Caenorhabditis elegans: one gene and its partner. Each later gene encodes a partner of the first gene's protein in a complex. Each region holds a gene or a part of one and is shown in the gene's direction. Other genes may lie near its edges. The genes, in order: smg-8 and smg-9.

Region 1 (12,261 bases):
GCTCTTGCGTACACGACAACCGTCTAGCTGCATTCTTTCTTCTGCAAACATATATTTTCAGTAAAAAAGAAGACGTGGCACAATGCAGCAATACGAAAAAAAAAACGAAACAAAAACTATAAAAGGAAGAAGAAAATGAGAAAACGAGAAAAAGAGAGCTGAACGATGCAAGAGATGAACGTAGCAGAGACCGCTGGGGACGGAGAAGACGATAAACAAACGAGTAAGTGCGCATTTCGGAGACACGGACGGCGAGAGCTTCGTCGGTCATAGAAGAGACGGTAGACAAGGAGAGAACGTGGTAGAGATTGGTGTGGTCGATATGAATGAATGCAAATACCGATATGTTAGGAGGAGAAACACAGCGGACGATGAGCGGTGGCAAGCGGCAGAGAGGCGACTGATAACAGGACAAGGGGTACTTGTGTGTATACGAATTGCCCCCACCCGACCAAGTGGTGGGTTGCGAGGGGACGACGACGACGATGCAATGACAAAACCCGCGAGTGTATTATGCGATAGACGGAAAAAATATTTTTAATTCGGTAAGAAGCATAACAAGCACGGAAGTCTCATAATTGCCTGACAATGCTGTACATAAATAATTTTGAAGTTTCTAGGAAATGCCGATAGATGCAGGTAATGACACTGTAGTTAGAAGTACATCCCACTTTTGTGGGAAAAAGAAAACTAATAAGTTCCTCGAAACTCACAAAAATCAAATTGCGCCGGCTAAAGTACACTTAATCCAAAAGAAACTCCAAATCTAAACCCAAAATTGGCCGCAGTTAAGACCATATATGAACAGCCTAAATAGATGGACAGGTGGTACAAAATAGTGGTATTATACAAATTGCATGTGGTCTCTGGAGCATTGTACACACAATACCAACAACAAGCCTTTCATAAAAATGCTTACCTGTAGGGAAATAATGCCTACGGTAGCTGTTCAATGCCTATTTTATAGTGAAAAAAATTATTATCATATCGTATTTAGTCTAATAATAAGGCATGCAATACTGGAATCTCTCAATTTTTGAGAGCTCATTTTGGTGGACCATCATAGGGTATATATATTCGATTTTCGCTCTGAGAATTTTTTTTTCGAACTACGCCGTGTGATGGAAATTGGGATAGACATGACTGTGTTGATCAAATTTAATTTATTTTTAATTGGATTAATTTGAAAAGATTGATCACAGTGGAGTTGAACATTATTTAAAGAGCTAGGCCATATTATTTATTTGGTATCAACAAGAACTACGTATTTCCTAAAACTTTTAAAGCAAAAAATGATATAAAACTAATTTTTAGTGTTGCTAATTTTGAAGGTAGCTACTAATTTGGAGAAAATTGCATATAAGACTAGATTAGAAGCGCTAATAAAACAATTCTATAGGGCCTTGATGTAGGTATTAAATGCCTGCCTGTCTGACCTTAATTCTACCTCAGCCTGTATCTCGCCAATATACGTGATGTTTTTAAAATTTCTTTATTGGATTTTCAACAAATTGGTAGAAATAAGAAAATTTGAAATTTGAAAATTCACTTCAAATCCACTTGAGGCGTGCAGATTTCAGGTAGGCGGCAGGCCCTGAAACCGCGCCTCCCTACCCTACAATTTTAATTACTAGAAAGACTTTAAGAAATTCAAAAAGAGTAGCCACTTAAAAAATACAGTATTTTTTTTCTTACAATAGTCTTACAACTGTAGCTACTGTATTTTTTGAAGAAAATGTATGTCTATAATAGACGTCGGGGCGACGCACCATAATCGAATAATATCAAAAATGAATGTAACAGACCATATGTTGGCAATATTTATGTATTACGGAAGAGTGAAGTGAAAAACGAAACAAATCTCTTTCTGTCCGTCCGTCGTCGCCGCATGTGCCCGTCCGCGTCTCACGTTTTGTAATGGTCTATAATGCCTTTTTGCTTTTTCAACAACGATGTGTTGGCAATATGTAGGGGGACCGGAAAAGATATGGATATCTGAATATATTGAAATCTGAAGAGATACTGGGCAGAAAACATTACATATTTACTGATACTATTTGTGTCGATTTACAGAGTTTACCTCGTTGTCAACATTTCGTAAAACGACACAAATCGTCTCTTCCCGAGCCCCGTCACTTTGGGTCCCTGATGTCTGTCACTCTCGCGCTCACTATCAGACAAACGGCATCAGACTTACTTCCATACAAGGCAGAGCTATTCAGATTAGAGCGCAATTATTCTGAGTAAATCAGAGAAATATAAGTTCTGCCAAAAAAAAAGGCGAAGTAACTCAGAGCTAGTCAGGCCTAATCAGAGCTGGGTAGGGTAAAGGCGTAGTTACTCCGAGTAAAAGTAGAGGTATGTAGTTTAGCGGTTATTTCGCTTTAGCTCTGAATAACTTTGATTTTTGTTTGGAAGTAACTCTGATATCATTTGTCTGAGTCTAACTATCTCTACACTCTCTGTACCGGTAATATAGAAAAATGTTCAACTTTCTCGGTTGTTTTTTAGATCTAATTTAAGGGAAAATTGAACAATGTGGAAAAATATACGTAAAATAAGAAGACACTCGAGATTTATCAAAAACGTAATAATTTAAATTAGAAAAAAGGGATACACCAAACGAAATTTATTGAAAGGCTAAAACCAATTCCAGCAAATCGAAAAATGTAAAATGGCCGATTTTTTGTAACTACCCAAACGCGAAATACTGCGATTTTTGAATCAAACTTACGGTATTAGGTCTCGAAACGACAAAGGGCCCTCCTTACAGAAGGATTCTCCAGCTTTAAAGGATCTTTATTTTTCAAAATTCAAAATTTCGGGAAAATCAATGGGAGCCCTTCTTTTTTTCTTTTAAAAAACTGTTCATAATTGTCAGTTTCCAGAAAATACCAACAAAGTAGGCTAGCTTCTACTGGGAAATCTCAAAATTTGCCGAGCTCTGAATAACTTCTGTGTCGTGTATCTTCTTAAACATCAAAATGACTCAATTTTGTGCCATTTTCCTAAATGTTTGGCGGGCAAAATCAATAGTTTTGGTCAAAATTTTATTGTCAAATTTTTTGATGTGTGCGGCAAATTTCGAAATTTGCTGAGCGGAAGAATCCTTTTGTAATCAGGACACTTTAGCATTGAAAAGGGGTCATATATTTTGATTCTCTCATTGTACAGTAGGTCTGTAATCGTGCTAAAAATTAAGATTTGAAAAATACAATTTATCTTTTTCAGAATATTTTTTTGAAAAACATCTGGGCAATAAGAAAATCGAAGACCTGAACACCTTTTTATCATGCAATTTAACCATAATTTACTAATTTTTCAATACGATTTCACAAGTTTGAGCCTTTCCTCGATTTGAAATTCCCTCGCTTTTGTGCGCATCATCACTCTTCGTCTCCAATCACTACGGCGTGTCAGTAGAGCGCAATTGCATTATTTATTATTTATTTGTTTTTTTCTCGTCGTATTTTTCGCAAAATTAAACTTCTTGCGTTTTCAGTGAAAAATGGACATAGCTAAATGGGTAGAACATGCAAGGACTTGTTACAGCACTCAACTTGACACTAAAATCAAAGTTATTGGAGTTGTAAGTGATGGAAATCGATTTTTGTTAATAATTCCGATTTTGTAGATTGGAAAAGACTATCCGGATCACGGAAAAGGAGATAATATTAATTGTTATTTAAGGGAAAATGTTTTCCCAGTGGCTGCAACTGAAGATGAGACTTGTACGGTGAGATTTTGAATTTTTGATTTTAAAATTTTAAAATTCCAACTAAAATTAAAAAAGAATTTCAGATTCGCGGTCACTTCTCCGAAGACGATCAGATTTTGTTTCTGGTGATGAATGGTGTAGATGACGTCGCGAACATTCGAAAATGTCTAAAATCAAATCCAAAATCGAACTATTTCGATGCGATGGCTGAAAGTGAATGCCAACAAATCCGAATGCTGCATTTTTTGTTTATTTCGTGTCATTTTATCATTATTTTTGAGCAAACATCAAGAATCGACTTGGAACTCATGAGATTTTTAAAAAAAGTCAACTCGGCGAGGTAAATATTTGAAAAAAAAGCAAAATTTTACAAAAAACTTTTTTCAGAATTCAGCTGCGAAAGAAAATAAATCAACGTCTGGTTGCTTCGGATCTTCGCGATGTCTCTTTTAATAATCGAATTTTGTCATCTGCAGAATCTGAGGGTCGAATGGTTGTGCCACGTCTTTTGATTGCTTTCCAGCGGAATAATATCCGGCCAGACGTGAATCCCGGCAAAAAGGTTAATAAAATGACGTTTTTTGCTTCAATATGTAGAAAATACATGTTAAAACATTAATCTTTGAATTTTCCAAACATTCAAAAACTGATTTATTTTTGAATTTACCGGCTAAAAAAATGAGTCTTCCTTGATTTTTTAAGTTTTTTTTTTCAATAGTTTCAATAGTTTTTTAAAAAACTATTACAAATTAATTTTTTTAATCGTGAGAAACCAGAAGTCTGCAACTGCAAAAATATCGAAACCAGCTTTTAAAAAATCAGTTTTAAAATTTTATTAAAATTTTCGAAATCGCGCCCCAACGGTCTTTTTCTGAGATAATTGAGATTTTTTTGAAAATCGGATTATTATAATCTATTGATTTTGATTAAAAAATTGATAATATTTAAGAAACAAAATTTCGAAAATTCAATTTATTTTTTAACCGAAAAGAAAAACATTTTTTAAAAAATTTTGATCATTTTTTTGATTTCCTCTAAACCTAAAGAATAAAAAAAAAAACATTTCAAACAAAACCATGTTTTGGATCAAATTAAAAAAAATTTTCTTCTAAACCTAAAAAATAATATTTTCAAAAAAAAAATTATCAAGTTTTTTTGATTTCCTCTAAACCAAAAATTCCAACAAACAAAAAACACCAATCTAGCCCGAAAAATTAAAAAAAAAACTTTTTTGAGGACAAAAAAACCCAAAAAAAACCCCTTCCAAGCTTCAGCGTGAACTCTACGAAAAACTGGAGAAGAACCTCGATAATCAATTCAGCGACATTCTGAAGCTCTACGACCTTATCGATTGCGGAGCATCATCCTTATGCCAGCTGAACGAAACAATACCGGTCGTCCATCTTTTGAATCCAAAAATTGTAAAAAGAGATATCATCGGAGAAATGTTCGAGATTCTGATGGCCGACGCTGAAAATACGAAAATATCCGGAAACGCCGGAACACTTCCCAGCAACAATTCGTTCGTCAAATTTTTAGAGGACAATTTTCGCTCGGAGAAAAACGAAATTTCTCTGGAAAACGTGATCGAATTGATGAACTGCCTACAGTGTGTTCTCGATGGTGATTTGGAGGAAAAACACGAGAAAACTGCCATTCAAACATTTATCAAAAGAATTCAAAATGACCATATGGAAGAAGCTCGACGACTTTACACTAATGCTCAGCGGCCAGGAGAGAGACGGGGTGCGGATCGGTTCAAAGATTCTGAAAAACCGGTGAAAATTCGAAGCAAGGAGGAGCACTTGATGAGGGTACGGGCTTTAAAAGTTGCTTTGCTTCAAAAAAAAATCAAAATATTAAAATAATCGACGCAATTTTTAAATTCCCTCCGCCATGAGAACTGCGACCATGCAGCGATTCGATCCGCCCACTCTCCAACCAATTAGCTTGAGAGTTCTCATTTTGGAGCGAAATTCAAAATTCGTTCAGAACTTTTTTGTTTCCATTTGTAGTGTTTCAGATTTTTAGCCAAATTTGGGGTTTCCTGGTCTCGAAACGACAAGATTTTGGCAAATGTAAAATAGAATGCGCCTTTAAAGAGTACTGTAATTCCTAAATTTTAGGGAGGTTTTAATTGAAAAACTACAATAAAACACGGAAAAAGCAATCAAAAAGGAGATCTGTGAAAAGTCAAATCAAATCAAATAAATAAATGTTTCCAAAGGAATTGCAATTGCCGCCCACCTCTAAATTAAGTATTATCTTAGGAAAAGTTTTTTTGAATTACAGTACTCTTTAAAGGCGCGTTTTTTTCGCATTCTTTTTAGACAACATTTTTAGGTTGAAAAACCAAAAAAATTTTGCATTTTTATTAGTTTCCAAAATGTTTTGCAGTTCAACGAAGCCACTCATTACATCGATTCAGTTGTCGGGGTGAATTCACGTGAAGCGCTGTCTCAACTTCAGGCTCAATGCAATGAGATGTGGCAATCCGATATGCGTGCATGCGAATCTGTCTCAATGATGGGCCGCTCGTGTGTTCGGAAAATCCATCCCACATTTGGTGATCAGACGGCTCCCGAGCACCGCTGGACCGCGCATGACGCTTCAAACACGATGATTTCCACGTGTGTCTGCGGACGGAAACAACTGATACGTCCTGAACCGTTCTCTGTTAAAGAAGCGAATTCCGATTTTTATGATCACCCGGATTTCAAGTGCTGTAGGCGATTGTGGAGATATCAGTTTCAGTTATATCAAGAGGATTCTGAGGAGAAGGATGTTAGTTTTCTGGCAATATTTTACGATATAATCAGCCTAGGAGCTACAAATTCTAATGTTTAAATTTCCCGCTAAAAATTTTCTCAGGAAATTTGAATTTCCCGCGAAAATTTCTCTCAGAAAATTAAATTTCCTGCCAAAAATTTTTCACAGAAAATTTGAATTTCCCTCCAAAATTTTTCTAAAAACTGTAGTTTTCCGCCAGAATTTTTCTCAGAAAATTTGAATTTCCATTCAAAATTTTTTTCTTAAGAACTTTGATTTCCCTCCAAAATTTAAAACAAATATTTTGAATTTCCCTCCAAATTTTTTTTATTTGAATTTGTTCTCAAAAAGTACGAATTTTTTCATAAAATTTTGTTTTCCTCTCGAAATTTGTCTTCAAGATTTGAATTCCCGCCGAAATTGTTTCTTAAAATTTTGAATTCCCCGCCAAAAATATTACAAAAAATGGATTTACAATTTTCAGGACATCATGTGGGCTGACCGAGAGTCAAATTCTCTCCGAGCCGCGAAAAAGATGGCTCAGCGCGAAGACGAGTTAGCCGAGGAAGATACTGACCTGGATATTCCTGAAAGCCTGTTGGATCCCGATTCAACGTCACCATCTGACGAAGATGACGTCAGAGTTAGAACTATGAGCAGTTCAGAGTCTTCATCACAAGAATCGGATGCCTACCTTCGTCCGACGAGTCGCCGCGATGAATCTATGGCATCGAAAACTGAACGAGAATTGACTATCGACCACGTGAAGCGGATGCAAAAGCTCGAACTCGCTGGAAAATCAGAAGATTTTCTGATCACTGTGCCCAACTCGATGACCACCGGAAAGCTGCCAATATTTCCATCGTGGCATCTAACGTCACTTGGTGACTCGAGTATTTACAGTCATGGAGCTGGACTTAAGAATCAACCGAATTTCAAAATTGGGGGAGATTATTTATCGCCTGTAGTTGTTCTATTAGATGTAAGGATTTTTTGAAAAAAAAAAATTTTAAAAAATTGGGGGGCAGGTAGCTCAGTCAATAAATTGTGGTCTTGTACATTTTTTGTTGGTAATTTCAGAATTTCAAATTTAAATTGCCAGATTTGAAAATTTCCGGCAAATCAGCTAATCGGCAAATTGCCGGAATTGAAAATTTTCGGCAAACCGGTAAGTTGCCGATTTGCCGAATTTGCGGGAAAAATGGCAATTGCCGAAAATTTCGGCAAATTCTGGTTCTGAACTTTTTTTTTTTTTTTGAAATTTCGAAATTTCAATTTCGATTGGCAAAATTGTACGCATTCTATGAATGTTCATACATCTATTTTTCAAAAAGCAATTTGCCGGAATTGAAAATATGTACCGTAACATTTTTTTTTGAAAGTTGACAGTACTCCCCATCAAGGGTGTCGTTTTTTTTTTTTGATTTTTTAGGAAAATCGTTAAATCGAAAAATTTTCTTTTTTTTATATTTTGAAAAATCGGTAAACCGGCAATTTGCTCCCCATTCGAAAAATAAATTTAAGGTGAACTTCGACGTCTGGAACCGCGATCTGAACAAAATTCGAAGCGAGGATTTCAGTCGAAAGTGCGGAAAAGACAACAAGGACGACTCGGCACGTGTCAAACTTTTTGTTGGATTCGAATATGAATGTTCCCGTGGTCACCGCTTCTTTGTGGACTACAACGGAGAACCGCTCATCTACTCGAAAGGATCGAATGTTATCAGAGAATCCGCGCACCGAAGTTCGTTGGGAAATGTCCTCCAGGCTGATCTTCCGATTAGAAGACCATGTACGTGCCGGAAGCTTCCACTGCAATCCGCACAACTGCAGAAGGTTCATGTGGTGACTCCAAAAGCACCAGTTCATATTACTATTGATCCGAAAGTTTTGATTCCAACTCACGAAGGCGTCTATGGAACTGGACAGGAGCCGCTGGAACTTCATCATTCAAAGTAATTACGAGGACGCAGAATTTTACCATTTTCGCGCGAAAAATACGGTTATCGGTCCCGAAACGACAATTTTTTTTTATTTCAAAAATATGTGCGCCTGTAAAGGTGCCGAAATCTGAGAAATATTTTTAAATGTCTCAAAATGTGTCCCTGATACCGAATGCCAATGCGAAAAATTCAAAAAAAAATCCCCTGATTTGGTATTTCAGCTTCAGGACTAGTCTCGTAAATCGACATGACACGGCGCGATAATGCCTCTGGCGCGGGTGTGTAGTTTTGACTTTTAATCAGATACCGTATATCTTCTATTAGTATGGCCTCCCTATTAGACTGGCACTCCCTATTAGTCTTGCACTCCCTAATAGTATTGCAAGCGGGAAGACCTTCGAAAAATAGTATTGCAGCCGTATTAATAGAAGAAATACGGTAGATATTCGGGATCAGAGGCAAATTCGGAATAATTATAAAATTATATTCCCCAGATTTTGATGCTCCGCTTTTAAAGGCTCACACCTCTTTGCGTCTAACAAACATTTGTCATAACGAGACCGGGTACCGTATTTTAGGCGCAAAATGTACATTTTCTCGAACTTTGGCAATAAATTATCATACATTTCTTACCAGATACTACATCCTCCACCTGCCAACTGTCTACTCTGGTCCATCGGGAGCCTGGATGCCCGGAGAGTTCAATCCTGAAAAGCAAGGTGTCTGGATGGGCGGAGCGCTGAAAGTCGCCTACAAACCTGTGATGTCGTTCAAGTGGTGATTGTTCTCGTGTGATTTATGTGTAAATTCCGAAATCTATTGCTTTTTCCTAAAAAAAATAAATTGGATTGTTCCTCATCTCGGCAAACCAAAATATTTCATCGCAGAAACAATCATATTAAACCTTGAGGGGTCCCTTGTGGCTTTCAACTTATCAAAAGTGGCTAGCAGCGTCGGCAAATATTTTTTAGGGCTTGAAGATTTTAACGAGACTACAAACTACAAATTTACAAACCTCTAACTACAAAATCAATCATTTTAGAGGAGTTTCAAAATTGTGAATTTTTACAATAAATTGCCCAATCTGCGCACTTTTTAATAGTTTTCGATGGGTTAAACCTAGATTTTCTGAATTCAGCATACATGAATTACCCACTTTCAACAAATTTAGACTTTTTTTCCCCAGTTTGTTTTCGGCCATCTAATGACTATCTTTTTTTGGGCAAAAAAATAATTTTTTAAATTGTACAAAATTACTAGAAATTGAAAAAAGACAATTTTTTAGTGTTCGGAAATCAATTTTGAGTCCTCTATTTACAAAATTAACCATTCTATAGAAGTTTCAAAATTGTGAATTTTTACAATAAATTTCCGATTTTTGCCAATTTTTAATAGTTTTTGATGGGTTAAACCTAGATGTTTTGAATTCAGCATACATGAATTACCCGTTTTCAACAAATATAGGCAACTTTTCATTTTTTTCCCCAATTTTTTTCAGCCATCTAAAGAAAAATAATTTTTCAGAGAAAAAAGCGCGAATTAAATTTTTGTTCTTCAATTTTAGCTTTCGTTTCTCATTTTGAAACTGATCTTTTGATATAGAGTAATCATTAAAGGATACATCGACAAATCGAGTCTAGTTCAACTCAGAGTCTCCTCCTCCAAAAAGAGAATCATTCCCGGACTGAAAACTCATTTCGGCGCTTCTCTCTAGTGTATAGAAACTGGGCCTCAGATGCTAGAATAATTGATGCAGAATTTAGTAGGAGAAGCCCTCCACTCTCGGGTAACGCGAAAAAGAGACCGCCCGTTTATGTTTTCGGATTGATTAGGCAAATGCGTGTTTCCTCTGCTCCTCGTTTTTTTTTCTTTAAAAAAAAACGGCATTAAACTGGGATTTCTAGGTCATCATCCCCTATTTCATCAATTCGACAATCCAATCAGGACGCCCGGTCCCTCTTAAATTTTTGAGATTAAGCTTTTGGAAAACACACAGAAAAAGCCAACAAAATTGAGAGTAGATGTTCCGAGTGGCTGAAAATTTGTGGCGCATGTGAAAGCTGATCCTTTTATTTTTGCAAATGGTTTTCCAGTTCTGCTTTTATGTAAAACCAATCTTTTAGATTTTTTCTGAACTTGACCTCACTTCCATTTAAAACTTAAGCAATTGGAAATCGATGATTTTCTCAACTGCTTCAAATTTCAATCAGAACACTTCCGAGATTCGTGTAGTTTTTAATTTGTTATTAAGGATTTCAGGAGTAGGCAGCTAAAAATGAATAAAGCTAAAATTAACAAATACCAAAAAAATAAATTGTTGTTATTTATTTTCACAAATTGGTGTTTCCGAAAAAGTCAAATTTTTCGACAATTTGAAAATTGACCAAAACTTCGACAAAAGTTTGAAAAAGCTTTGAAAATGTTTTCTTGTTCTTAGAAATTGTAAAAAAGATTTCCTGATTTTGTTTGGAGTTTTCAATGAAATTTATGCAGATACTATTTGAACTCAAAATTTTAAAATCACTTTTGAATACCGTAACGTTGCTCTGAAGACTGGTGATTATTTTAAAAGGTTTCGAGAGATAAGCAAACATTCGAGTTTTTTTGGAAATTTTCATGCATTTTTCCAAAAAAAAAACTAAAATTCACAGAAAAGGAATCACGTTATTTTGTTTAATTTTTAGAACCCTCAACCCCTGAATACTCTGTAAAAATATTTTGGACCGAAATAGATTTTTTCAGTACGAATTGCTAATTTCTTTGTAGCAACCTATTGAAAGAGATATATTTCAAATTTCCAAAAATATCTTTTGAAAGTTCAGAGTTTTGGTCTTATTATTTTTAAATTTAGTCAAATGAATTTTACAACAGTTTGAAGATAGAAAGCAATAGGAAAATTAATTTGTGCGTTCAAAACAACCATATTTAAAAATTAGCTGTTCCGGTAAAGCCAACTACAATTTTTTTGGCAATAATAATTTTCGCATATTTTTCTGAGAATTCATACGAGGAATAAATACTTCCACGATCTTTTCCCTAAAACTTGCTTTCAATTCCACAAATGTTTTTAAAAATTTCAAGTTGATATCTTCTGCCGAGCTATTTGTCAAGCTTTGTGTGTTTTTATGAAAGCTGAGTTGTGAGATTTCAATTTTCAAAACTAATGTATTCGACTTTCGATTTCCTCTTTGTTTTTAATTTTACATTTTGCAAACCTGCTCTGAACCAAAAATAGAAAATGATGTCAATCAAATGTTCAATTACCTGGAACGCTGCCTTTTTTATTTGATTCTCAACTGGCTTGTTTCTAAATAGAAGCAAAATTTTGTATAAATAGGTTTTAGAATACATGTAGACGTCATGTTTGGTAGAGTAATTTTTTTTGATGATTTATAACTAGTGGGTTGATATCCAAAAAAATTATTCATCATTTCAGGCTCTAATAGGTCTAGACGAACATTTTGGTAATATTTTAGGTACGAATAAATTATTAATAGTGTAATTTATTTCGTTAAAAATTATGTTTACTGTGAAAATTTTGATAAATATTGGGCTGTATAAGAAATTCAGAGGATTCATGTGATATGTTCTTGCATATTGATGTATTTTTGATTTCAAATAGTTTTGCAACTTAATTTAATTTGATGTATTTGAAATTAAATGGGACGCGCGCAATTTATCTATTTTTTTAAACCGAAATTGGATGCATCGACTTAAAATGAAGAAAATATTGAAAGTTAATAGTTTAGATCAAAATGTTTGATCTTTTTCATATTTCAAGCGTTACACGTCATCAGTATGTTTTGTTATTATGGTGCGGTATTCTGGGCT
Region 2 (12,054 bases), 310 kb from region 1:
AGAACGTCAGCGAGTATCGTGTCAGCTGCGTGTGGACGGGCTCCTCACAGCTTGGACAGTGCCGTGCGGTTCCGCCGAAGTACATGGCGGAAGTGTACAGCTTTATTGAGGAGGACGAGTGGGAAGAGAAGTTGCAGGTGGGGAAAGAGTTTTAGATTTTGAAGGTGGTGTAGTCGAATTTTTTTTTGCTTATTAGACTTGAAATTGTCTAAAAAACGAATTTCATAATTAAAATTCTTGAAAACTTCTCAAAAAAAGTTATGGCGGCTCAAAAAATTACTTAAAATTAGTAAAACTAGAAGTTCGACTTGCCAAACGGTTGGAAACTAACTTTTTTGAAATTACCGTCTAATTTTGGGTGTACAATAATTATCATGCGTTTTCAACTCGGTTTGAAAGGCCAGAAGACCTTAAATGTACCTAAATCGAGTTGAAAACGCAAGTTAATTAACTTATACATCCAAAATTAGACGACCATTTCAAAAAAGTTAGTTTCCAGCCGCTGACAAGTCAAATTTCAAATTTTAACGAATTTTATGTCATTTTTTTTGAGCCGTCATAACTTTTTTTTTTTGAGAAGTTTTCAAGAAGATTCATTAGGAGATTCGGCGTTTTAGACAATTCCAAGTCTAATAAAGCAATTTGTAGAAAATTCGCCTAGTTTAACCAATTTCTCACAGCTTTTCTCATTCAGAAAGTGCGAAACGCCATCGGATGTGACACCTCGGCAGCCGTCAACTTCCAGGAATTTGTAGAAATCAAGCCACCGAAAACGAATGGAGCTCATGGTGCATCGATTAGAAAATCCGGAGGAAAAACGAATACAACCGCAATTCGCTATGTGAAACGTCACAGAACATTGTCCGAATTCGTGATTTGCAATGATCGTTGTGTTCAGGGAGGAATCGGATATTCAGCCTCGTTGGTCATCATTTTGGCGTTGGCAATCTCGTTTTTTAAGAACTGTATTCAGGTCGAATAAATATGAGCTTTTTTTTGCGAAAATCTTTTTTGTTGTTTTTTAATTTTTTTTTTCTAAATTTTTGTCATGATTTTTTATATTTTGAAAACAAAAATAAAAAGGGCTAAACAGAAATATTATTAAATTTTAAATTCCCGCGCAAAGCGAGTGACGTCATTTTCGACATTTTTGCGTTTTTCCGGCTATTTTAATTGATATTTCTCTGTTTTATAACTTGAAACATAATTTGTGGATTTTTCAGACATTCTTTCGTAATGAAATTTGCTGAAAAATTGAAGAAAAATCAATTAAAGTCAGAGAACGCGAAAGTGACGTCACTTTTTTTACTCTGGAATTCAAAAAAAATCAGTTCTTTTGACCTTTTTTTTGGCCTGATTTTGGCTTTTTGGTCTTTTTGGCCTTTTTTGCGTTTTCCGACTGTTTTATCTGGTTTTTCTTTATTTTTCGTTATGTCACAATTTTAAACAAAATTTATAAAATTTTCAGAAATTTTTCCGTAAAAAACTTGTTGAAACTCTAAAATTAGCCTAAAATCGATAATTTAATTTTTGAAAAACGTTTTTTGTGGAAAAATGTCCGAAAAATTGACAAATTATGTTCCAAATTGTAAAAAATGGAAAAAAAATAAAAAAAACAGCCAGAAAACCAAATTCAAAAAATCAAAAAAAAATTAGAAAATTTTTATAAATTTTTTCACTGTTATATTCTGCCATTTAGAGCAAATTTTTAAAATTTTCAAAACTATTACCTTCGCCTTCGCCTGCCTCGCATGCTCAACTTTCGCCAGCTCCTGGCTCTTCACCTCGAAAACTATTTTATTCCGTTTTTCGAGTATATCTCCGGCTAATTCGAACAATTCGACGCCGAGAAGATCGATGAGCTCGCCCTGTAGATCCATATCGGAACGTGTCGAGCACAACATTTGTAGAAGGTTTTGGGATATTGTCTGAAGGAAAATAGGTTAGAAACTTGATTTTTTAGCCGAAAATCAACCTCAAACGTATCTGGAAAATATATAAGCAATGTGTCAGCAATCGGCTGAAAAATGCTCCCAGAGCCCGAGGTAGAAGGCACTTGGGGTAGGGAAAGAGCTTCTGGAGCTTCTGAAAAACCTTCTTGTTCAGCTTCACAATTCGACCATTCTAGAAATTCCGATGGAAATCGAATTTGAATTTCCTGGTGGAAGCTTGCTACCCGTGATGGTGAGGGTGGATCTGAAAAAACATCTGGTAAAAATTTTTTTAATAAAAAAATGGAAAAAAAGCTAACTAACCATCTCCAATTCGTTCGATATAGTTGAGAAGATCCATTTTGTACCTAGTTTGGCAGCTGTAAAATTAGAATTAAAATTAAAATGAAAAACTATATTTTTCAAGAGAGAAGGATGTTCAAACATTGTTCAAAATTTCGCAATTTTTGAAAAATCGATTTTTTTCTGAAGTTTTAAGTTTTAATTACTTTTAATTTCTATTTTGTTTAATTGCCAAATATTTTTGTTTTTTTCTCTGTTTTAAGGTGAAAATTAATAAAAATGAACAAAATAAGGTCCTGGCCGCTTCCCTTCTCTGACCTAGCGCTTTCTAGGCCAACTGCACTTTTATTTGGCGGTTTTTTATGCAAAAGTGTATTATATTAATTTTTTTCGCAATAAAGATGTGTTTTTAATCATTAAAATAGTTTAAAATGAAGAGAAACATTGAAAATTGAAAGATAACAAAAAATGTTTTTAAAAAAATTCTACAGTACTTTTTAAAGGCGCAGTCCAATTTTTGTATTGATTTTCCCGCCACGATTACTCTTGTGGACTCTTTTTTCGTGCTTTTTTTGTTGTTGGTTATGGTTTTTACTGATTTTTTTTGAATTAAAAATTAAAAAATGACTTTTTTAATTAAAAATTTGTTTCAATTATTTTGAAACCCTCTTGTAAAGCCTTGTAAAACAAGAAAATTGAACTACAGAAGTTTTAAAGGCGCATACTAATCTTCAAAACAATTTTCCTACCACGAAAATAAATGATGACGCGGGAAAACTGAAGAATCGTTAATTTTCTCCGTTTTTCACGAAAAATGTCGGTTTTTTCTATTAAATTCATCCGATTTTCAGATGTCGCTCAACACAACCTTCACCAAAGAGGACGGAACCGAGGTCGTCATCCCATTCAACGGGTCGCAAAATGGGCATCCGGAGAACGAGGAGCCAGAGGTTGAAGAAGCCGCGGAGCCCAGTTCTTCAGTGGAGACACTGTGCGGTGCCACGAGAGGCGACATCATTGTGATGAAGCACACGACGAAGGCGCTCACAGAGTTGATCGAGCGGCTCTTGCACTCGGATGGTGAGAAGCTTTGAAAAATTGCTAAAAGAGATTTTAAGAGGAATAAAACCATATTAATTTCAGAATTCGAAGTCCGTCGCTGCTCAAACGGCCAAATCATCTCACAAGGCCGCTGCAACGGAACAACGCCAGGAAACGGCATCGGAGGCGGCGGGGCATCAAGCGAGGAGCTCGAAAAAGCGCTGAAAGATCGAGATGCCGCCCGTGCCGAAGCCGACAAGCTCCACGCCAACTACGCGACACTGTTCGCCTCGTTCAACACGGTTCGCGAAGCCGCCAACGACATCCGCGGCGAGTACGAGGACGCGAGGGACAAGCTGAAGCTCGCCGCCGCCGAAGTTGACGAGTGGCAGGCAAAGTTCCTCGCCGTCAAGGATAATGCGAATTCTGAGCTTGAGAGGTGAGTGAGAGAAAATTTAATTTGCAACATGTAAGAATATATTTCAATTCAGAGCATCCGTGGAGTACGACGATCTTCTCCGATCCCACGATGAGAACACAAAGGGACTCCGTCTGCGTGTAAAACGCCAGGAAATCGAGCTCTCCAGCAAGAACGACGAGATCAAGGTGCTCACGAACCGCGTGTCGGAGCTCTCACAGATTTGCGATCAACTTCTGAATGATGTCGACGTTTCCGATGGGATGTCCGTTATTTCGACGGATGCATAATTTATTTCTGTAAAATATAATATTTCTTCCCCCCGCCTTTTCGCTTTCCGCCTTATATTTTCTAATTGTACATGAATTTTTCAGCTTATTTATTTGTTTTCCAGATTATTTGTATGAGAAACAAGTACAAAAGGCTTCGTTTCAGTATTTTACCGAGAAAAACTACAATCTTCTAAATTTTCGCGCCAAAGATACAGCGCCCGGTCTCGACACGAAAAACATTTGCCAAATGCAAGCATGTGTGCGCCTTTAAAGTGTACTGTAATTTCCAGGCCGAATTTGTTTTGATTTTTTTAGTTCTCACTTGTTTTTCCAAACAATTTATGCGTTGTTACGAGGTTTTTGTAATAAAAGTCAATAAAATTCCTACAGTAATCTTTAAAGGCGCACACCTCTTTTCAGACTGCCGCATGGATTTTGAGCGAATTTTTTGATTAAAATGTATGCAAAACTTTCAAAATTTCTATTAAAATCTTGCAATTTTCCAGATGAAAAAAGTGGAAATTCTGAAAACATCTCGGCCATCATCTGCAGGAGGCGCTGCCCGACCCTCCACAGCGAGCCCAACTCATGGAGCACCGAAAATCGCCATCAAAACACGTCCGGTGGCCGATGACGTGGCGCCTACCGCCGCTACGGTCATCGAGCCATCGCAAAAAGCGATGAAGGAGTCTGTGCGATTTTTGACGGATTTCGGAGAGATTTCCGATGCGATTTCAGTGTGTTTTTTATTTTAATAATTTATTATGGAGACGCAGAAAAATGGCTTCTTGAAATTGGAGACGTGAAAACGCGCTCCACCGAACTATGGGTCTCGTTAGGGTTTGCTCGTAAATTCAAATGCTTCCAAAATTTTAAAAATTAATTTGAAAAATGTTCAAGCATTTTTCGTACTTTTTCTCAATTTTGAAGCATTTTTTGTGTTTTTTCTCAATTTTGAAGCATTTTTTGTCAAATTTCTTAAGTTTTTTGTGCTTCTTGCTAATTTTAAAGCATTTTTCGTATTTTTTGTCAATTTTTTAAGCATTTTTCGTCCCTTTTGACAGTTTTCAAGCATTTATCATTTATAATTTCAACAAAAAATTTCAACACATTAAAAAAACAGAAGACGACGAAAAAAACGAAAAATGCTTGAAAATTGACAAAAAAAATTACAAAAATTGCTTGAAAATGTTAAACAAAAAACACGAAAAATTCTTGAAAATTGACAAAAAATTACAAAAAAATTCTTGAAAATGTAAAAAAAAACACGATAAATGCTTGAAAATTGAAGAAAGAAGCACGAAAACTACTTGAACATTGACACAAAAAAATTACAAAAATTGCTAGAAAATTGAAAAAAACATTACAAAAAATGCTTGAAAATCGACAAAAAAAGGTCGAAAAATCCTTGAAAATTGACAAAAAAATTACGAAAAATAGCTTGAAAAAGTTCAAAAACAAAAAAACGAAAAACTTGAAAATTTTTAAAATTACGGTTTCGCCGCCAAACAACTAACGAGACCCATTATTCGGGGGTGGAGTTGACCGTGGAGCGCATTTGTAATTTTTCCAGGATCTCCTCACATCGAGCCCCAACTTCAACGTTATCTCTGCGATCGGGCCGCAGGGCGCCGGAAAATCCACATTGCTGAGCATGTTGGCAGGGAATAATTCACGTCAAATGTACAGGGAATACGTTTTTCGGCCAGTTTCTCGAGAAGCCAACGAACAATCACGACATCAAACAATTCAAATCGATATTTATATTGTAAATCATCAAATTTTCTTGGATTGTCAGCCAATGTACAGTTTTTCGATTATGGAAGGCCTTCCGAAGGTTCGAGGTGGACGATTCGATGATTCCACTGCGATGAGTGATGTGAGGAAGCATTTTAGACACAAAAAATCGGAAAAATTGGTTTAAAGGCGCACGAAAAGTTCTGTAAAGGTCTTGCCACGAAATTAGTTTTTCATTTAAATTAATGAGATCAGGGGTGGACGGATTTTCGCCAACAAATTCGACAAATTGCCGATTAGCCGGAAATTTCAATTCCGGCAATTTGCCGATTTGCCGGAAATTTTCAGTTCCGACAATTTTCCGGTGTGCCAATATGCCGGAAATTTTCATTTTCGACAAATTGCCGATTTGCCAGAAATTTTCAATTTCGGCAAATTTTTTGTTGAGAAATTCGGCAATTGCCGGTTTGCCGATTTGCCGGAAATAATCAATTCTGGCAATTTGCCGATTTTGCGATTTTCCGGAAATTTCAATTACGGCATTTAACCGATTTGCCGATTTGCCGGATGTTTTCAATTCCGACAGCTTGCCTGAAATTTTCAATTCTGACAATTTGCCGGTTTGCCGATTTGCCGGAAATTTTCAGTTCCGACAATTTGCCGATTTGTGGGAAACTTTCAATTTCGCCAAATTTTTTTATCGACAAATTCGGCAATTGCCGTTTGGCCGATTTGCCGGAAATTTTCAAATCCGGCAATTTGCCGATTTGCCGGAAATAATCAATTCTGGCAATTTGCCGATTTTGCGATTTGCCGGATATTTTCAATTCCGACAATTTGGCGGTTTGCCGATTTGCAGGAAATTTTCGTTTTCGGCAAATTGCCGATTTGCCGGAAATTTTCAATTACGGCATTTAACCGATTTGCCGATTTGCCGGATGTTTTCAATTCCGACAACTTGCCTGAAATTTTCAATTCCGACAATTTGCCGGTTTGCCGATTTGTCGGAAACTTTCAATTTCGCCAATTTTTTTGTCTACAAATTGGCAATTGGCGGTTTGCCGATTTGCCGGAAATAATCAATTCCGGCAATTTGCCTATCTGCCGGAAAAATTCGATTGCCGCCCACTCCTGATTGGAATATTAATTCCAAAAATATATAAAAATTCTAGAAACTAGACTTTAACATTCAAAAAAAAAAGGTTTGAAAATTCACCAAAACAAAATTCACCAAAAATTTTTATGCCCTAAAGTGAAAATCTTTAAAAAAGTAAAAATTTTCATTAATTTCAGACCCTCCGGCTCACCGCATTCCTGCTCTACGTCAGTCATACGGTACTCGTCGTTTCCGAAACACATTACGATAAAGTCATCATTGACACGTTGAGGGTTGCCGAACAAATTCGACCGTATCTTGCAATTTTTCGTCCGAAACTTGCGATTGATAGGAAGACCAATTTAGGTAGAAAAAAAAATGAAAAAAAAAACTGGCAAGAAATGGGCGGGGTTTGGAAAATAGGCTCCGCGCAATTCTTGGTTCTCCGAATTTCGCAAGACGCAGTTTTAGCGAAGACTGTGCAAGTTGATGCATGCAGAATTTTAAAGGGATTTTGTACTACACGTGGACAAGTATGAATTTATTTTTTTCGTATGCATTTGTGAATGGCTGAAATGCATATATTTTTGGATCATTTTTTGCATTTTTATAATTTTTTTTGGAAATTGGAAATTTTTTGGAATTTTAAATTTTGAAATTCCAAAAATTTTGGAATTTTTAAATTTTTAAAAGTTTTGAAACTTTGAAAGTTTAGAATTTCGGAGTTTTTTAAATTATGGAATTTTAAAATTTTGGTATTTGGGAATTTTGAAATTCCAATATTTTTAAAATTTCAAAATTTTTGAATTTTTGAATGTAAAATACGAAAAGAATAAGCAAAAAACTATTATTTTTATTCAAAAAACAAAAGTGAAATCATGCGAAAAAAAATGAATTCGCACTTGTCCACGTGTAGTACAAAGTCCTCCGTAAATCGACATGCAGAAAACCGTACCGCAGTCTTTTTGCAAAACGAAAAAAATTTCAGTATTCATCAAAACGAAGGCGAGCTCAATCGACCTGGCGCCTACAGTAATCCGGGAACGGGAAGAGCTTCTTCGACTAAGTTTCCAAGATTCTCGATGGCTGAAAGTCTCTCAGGAACCCTTTAAAACGCTGATAGTCCTGGAAGAGATTCGTGTCCGGCGTGAGCATTTGTTTGAGGAGGGCGATGAGCCTGACGAGGCTGCCTCGCTTAATGAATTTGACGAACAAATCGCAGAGTTACGAGAGGAATTGCAAAAGAATCGAGAGGATTTTACAGTGGAAACTGCGGCGATGGATGAGAAGAAATGGTACGTTTTTTAATTTTAATTTCCAAAAAAATATTTTTTTGGACAAAAAATATCGAATTACTTCAAAAAAAAAAAACAAAAAAAGTCCTAAATAATGTTTTGAAAAATAGTTTAAGGTTTTTGATCCAAAAAATTGAAAGAGACTTTTTTCAACCAAAAAAATTGGAAAAAAAATTGTTTTTGCAAAAAAACCAAACAATTAAAAAAAATCTGAAAATGAATGGAATTTTGGAAAAAAACAACCCAAAAATTGTTGAAAAAAAGCAAAAAATCAAAAATTTTGTTAAAAATCCAAAATGTAAAAAAATTCAATTTCTGCAAAAAAAAACTCAAAAAATTGGAAAAAAAACAATTAAAAAACAATTTTCACAAAAATACCAAAAGTTAAAATAAAAACCGAAAAAAAATCAGTTTCTGCAAAAAAAAACTTCCAAAATTATTTTTAGAAAACCAAGAAAAAACCAAAAAATTTTTAAAAAAACACAAACAATTGTTTTTTAGAATATTTGCAAAAAAACCAAAAATTGTTCAAAAAAACCAAACAATTTAAATTTTAAAAAACAAAAAAAATCATTTTTGCAAAAAAAAACCCTAAAAACCAAAAATTGAAAAAAATACAATTTAAAAAAAAATTAATTTTTGCAAAAAAAAAACCTAAAAACTAAAAAAGAAATCTAAAAATTAAAAAACAAAAAAATACAGAAAATCATATTTTGAAAAACCAAAAAAATAAACAAGAAATTATAATTTTTGAATTAAAAAATCCAAAAAAAAGTGTTTTTATAAAAAAAAATAAAAATTTCCGATTTTTCAGGCTCGACATGTGCCGAGAAGTGATACGAGACAAGACGTTGCACAAAACACTCAAAGAATATCAACGAGCAATGACCGACGGTGTCCGCACACATTTTGACAATGGATTCCATGCGGAAAGAGACGCGAACAAATTTTTTAGCTGAAAAATTCCGGTTTTTTGGAAATTTTTAAGTATGTAACTTTCAAAAAAACAGTGTTTTTATTGAAAAACTGCTATGTTTTTCAAATTTTCGAATAAAATTTTAAAAAAAGCTGAAAAAATATTCTCTCAAAATATCACCAAAAAATCTAAAAATTTTTTTTCTAAATGTTTCGATTTTCATTTTAAAAACCTCTAACAAAAAAATTTGGAAAAATATTAATTTAAAAAAAAACTCAATAAATAATGTACGGCTTTAAAAAAAAAATTCGATTTTTTAATGCCAAAAAGTGAAAATATTATTTTTTAACAATTAAATAAAATAATAATATGCATTTCTTTTCCGATTTTTTTTCCGATTTTCTCAAAAACAGAAATTCAAACAAAAAATTGAACAACATATTTTTAATCAAAAATCTTTAAAATGATAATACATTTAACATCAATTTTCAATTTTCACTAAAAACACCATATTTTTCCCTTAAAAATACCAAAAAAATCAAATTTTTCCCGGCAGACACCCAGGACCCCAGAAATTCCTCAAAAAAGCGTTATTTAAATTTTCAAACCCAAAAAAGTGTCTTCAGGCCTACCTACACATCATACTCATCACCATCCAACAACTGATATAATCCCAACCTTGTTTTTGCCTTTATTTTTTCTCCTCTTATGCATATTTTCTCCATATTCCTACTCTCCAGGACGACCGGCCGTCTCTCTCTTTAATCCGGGAGCAGCACCACCACCGTCACACAATTTCCGCCTCATCGCCACTCATCGGGGAGCCGAGAGGCTTATATTCCTGCCATAAATCCCCCCGTGCTTGAGAATTTTTTTCCCCATTTTTTGTTGTAAAATTTTTTTTTAATTTTCTTTTTTTTTTATGTATAATTTTTCCAATTTCATTCCCCATCATTATATCGTTTTTTTTTTTGTATTCCCATTTTTTGAGATCTAAATCAGTTGGGTATTGTTGTGCAGTTTTTGTGCAAAACAACCGGATAAAAACACTGCAAATTTCTTTTTCGTTTTTCTTTTTTTCCTCGGTTGAGCTGTGAGCAAAAAAAAAAAGAAAGAAATCGAGAGATTTTCGATTTAAAATTAAATTTTTAATATGAAAAATTTAAATTAGTTTCCAAGTGTCAGTTTCAGGACTTTTCCTTTTTCTGTCCTTTTCTATTCGATTCTCAAGTTTTCTGATATGTAAACTACTAAAAATTTTTCGAGAATTTAAATAGTTTCCCAATTGTCGTAGGTTTAGTGCATTGCGTACTTGGCATCACATTCCACGACAATTTTCAAATATTTCGTTTTAAAATCCACGGAATAAAGATATTTCTAGGCCATGTAGAGGATTCTAGAGCGAAAATTTGAAATTTTCTGCAATTTTGCGTAAAATTCGGTGCAAGACTAATTTTGCGTACTTGGTATCACATTCCACGACAATTTTTGAAATATCAAAAATTGTCGTCGTTTTCGGTGTTTTGTACGTAATACTATTAGTTGACAATAGGGACAATAGTACATTTTTTTTATCCGCCAGCAAAAAAAAACACCGAAAAACAGAGAATCCGGCCTCGTGGTCGAATTTCTTGAAATTTTCTTTGAAATGTTTCTTGTTCACCGGAAGTGTCCGCCACCCCACCATCACTTGCATTTTTCGTAAAAAAAATGACGTGATTACTCGTGAAATGCGGTTCCACGTACGCAATTGCGTGCCAAACATCAGATTTTACGAAATTTCTAGGGAAGTTCAAATAATGCCAGTGAATTTGGCCTTTCTGTGCAGATTTTGGTCTAAAAATCAAAAATTAATCGGTCCTAACTCGAGTCTATTTTTATTCCGAAGTGAAAGTGAACTTCATTAAACTTGCATTAAATAAATGTTTCCTGACGGAAAAGTTCAGAATTTTTGTCTTTTTTTTTGGTTTGGAAGTTGGACTGATGTGACATGGCCGAGTTTTCGTTCAAAATTAGGTGATTTCACGTGGACGAGTTTCTCAGTTTTTTTCGGCCATGGCCACATAATAAAAGTCCCCCAAGTGTTGCGTACATCATATCAAATTTTACGACAAACTCTCAGAAATTTGAATAAAAAGTTTCATTTTTTCTAAAAATTGGGCGAAAAACAGTTCGTGGCTTGGAATCAAATTATAATTAAAAATGTCTGAAAATTTGTCGTGAATTGTAATGTTTTAGTGAAGAAACATCAATTTAAAACTAGAAATTGAGAGTAAAAGTATTTTTTTTCTAAATTGTTCATTTGAAATTCAAGTCACACCGAATTAAATTCCATTGCTTTCTTTATTTTGCCATTTTTTCTAAATTCTAGTTCTATGATTATCTATTCTTTTTTTATTTATAAAGTGTAAAGCCCTTTATAAAGTGAAAAATAACATAAAAATCAAATTCTGGCTTATAAATTAGATTTTTTTCGCTCAATTTTTCTAAAGCGGCGGATAACAAGAAATTGATAAGTTTACATGACCTACTGCTCTTAATCCCATTTCTTCTCGCAGTTTCCCACCGTCCAGTTGCTAAGCTCCGGCGAGGACTGACGTCAGCATGACCTTGAAATTGATTTGTTCGAAAAAAAGCTCAAAAATGGAAAAGGGAAGCCGTATTTTTTTCATGAAAGTCGGATTAGGATTTTCCAATATAATAAACACATTTTTTTATAATTTTTATAATTTTCTAGAAAATTCGACTGGAGACAGTGGATTTTTAAAAAGTAATTTTCATGGTAGTTTATCCCTTTTTGCGCGTCAAGCTTGATGTATTAATGCGATACCACATTTGACGCGCAATTTTATGCCAATGCCTTTTGCTCGAATGAAAAGTAATCCATAAATCCACGAGCATAACAGGAAATTAGGTTGGGGACCACCTAATTTCCGGTTTATTTTTTTTCTGGGATTTCCGCTTGAGACCTTTCTGGGTTAGTCCTCAGAAAATATAAATGTAAAAAAACTTTTTGATCTTCAACCCTTGTGAAGACAATGGGCA

The links.
Region 2: the proteins of smg-8 (region 1) and smg-9 are in contact, whole or in part, in a crystal structure (PDB 5NKM), measured with the Caenorhabditis elegans proteins. Residues at the interface, in NP_497003.3 of Caenorhabditis elegans: Pro33 (codon at 3,650), Asp34 (codon at 3,653), Val80 (codon at 3,856), Asp81 (codon at 3,859), Val83 (codon at 3,865), Ile86 (codon at 3,874), Arg87 (codon at 3,877), Leu90 (codon at 3,886), Lys91 (codon at 3,889), Asn97 (codon at 3,907), Tyr98 (codon at 3,910), Phe99 (codon at 3,913), Glu106 (codon at 3,934), Glu135 (codon at 4,021), Arg138 (codon at 4,030), Tyr229 (codon at 5,056), Ala334 (codon at 5,371), Ile335 (codon at 5,374), Thr337 (codon at 5,380), Phe338 (codon at 5,383), Ile339 (codon at 5,386), Arg341 (codon at 5,392), Ile342 (codon at 5,395), Asp345 (codon at 5,404), His346 (codon at 5,407), Glu390 (codon at 6,122), His393 (codon at 6,131), Tyr394 (codon at 6,134), Ile395 (codon at 6,137), Asp396 (codon at 6,140); in NP_497058.1 of Caenorhabditis elegans: Tyr155 (codon at 5,770), Asp173 (codon at 5,824), Tyr202 (codon at 7,062), Lys204 (codon at 7,068), Val205 (codon at 7,071), Ile207 (codon at 7,077), Asp208 (codon at 7,080), Arg211 (codon at 7,089), Val212 (codon at 7,092), Glu214 (codon at 7,098), Gln215 (codon at 7,101), Ile216 (codon at 7,104), Arg217 (codon at 7,107), Pro218 (codon at 7,110), Tyr219 (codon at 7,113), Ala221 (codon at 7,119), Ile229 (codon at 7,143), Ile245 (codon at 7,813), Val251 (codon at 7,831), Glu254 (codon at 7,840), Arg255 (codon at 7,843), Glu257 (codon at 7,849), Leu258 (codon at 7,852), Leu261 (codon at 7,861), Ser262 (codon at 7,864), Gln264 (codon at 7,870), Asp265 (codon at 7,873), Arg267 (codon at 7,879), Trp268 (codon at 7,882), Thr350 (codon at 8,942).

What each region holds. Positions count from the first base shown.
Region 1 is NC_003280.10:14,437,932-14,450,192, forward strand, and holds smg-8 (Nonsense-mediated mRNA decay factor SMG8), read left to right. Parts: upstream 1-3,477; 5' UTR 3,478-3,508; coding exon 3,509-3,589; intron 3,590-3,634; coding exon 3,635-3,736; intron 3,737-3,801; coding exon 3,802-4,058; intron 4,059-4,105; coding exon 4,106-4,280; intron 4,281-4,986; coding exon 4,987-5,532; intron 5,533-6,115; coding exon 6,116-6,502; intron 6,503-6,971; coding exon 6,972-7,469; intron 7,470-8,011; coding exon 8,012-8,442; intron 8,443-9,066; coding exon 9,067-9,211; 3' UTR 9,212-9,302; downstream 9,303-12,261. Other genes in the region: K04B12.2 (snRNA-activating protein complex subunit 3), read right to left, coding at 1-33. UniProt on the Caenorhabditis elegans protein: Involved in nonsense-mediated decay (NMD) of mRNAs containing premature stop codons. Probable component of kinase complex containing smg-1 and recruited to stalled ribosomes.
Region 2 is NC_003280.10:14,744,907-14,756,960, reverse strand, and holds smg-9 (Nonsense-mediated mRNA decay factor SMG9), read left to right. Parts: upstream 1-4,471; coding exon 4,472-4,702; intron 4,703-5,538; coding exon 5,539-5,844; intron 5,845-6,995; coding exon 6,996-7,164; intron 7,165-7,786; coding exon 7,787-8,093; intron 8,094-8,907; coding exon 8,908-9,052; 3' UTR 9,053-9,080; intron 9,081-9,635; 3' UTR 9,636-10,071; downstream 10,072-12,054. Other genes in the region: Y54E2A.5 (uncharacterized protein), read left to right, coding at 1-137, 695-982; Y54E2A.4 (Activating signal cointegrator 1 complex subunit 3), read right to left, coding at 1,731-1,928, 1,976-2,196, 2,256-2,292; tac-1 (Transforming acid coiled-coil-containing protein 1), read left to right, coding at 3,086-3,314, 3,378-3,714, 3,767-3,983. UniProt on the Caenorhabditis elegans protein: Involved in nonsense-mediated decay (NMD) of mRNAs containing premature stop codons. Probable component of kinase complex containing smg-1 and recruited to stalled ribosomes.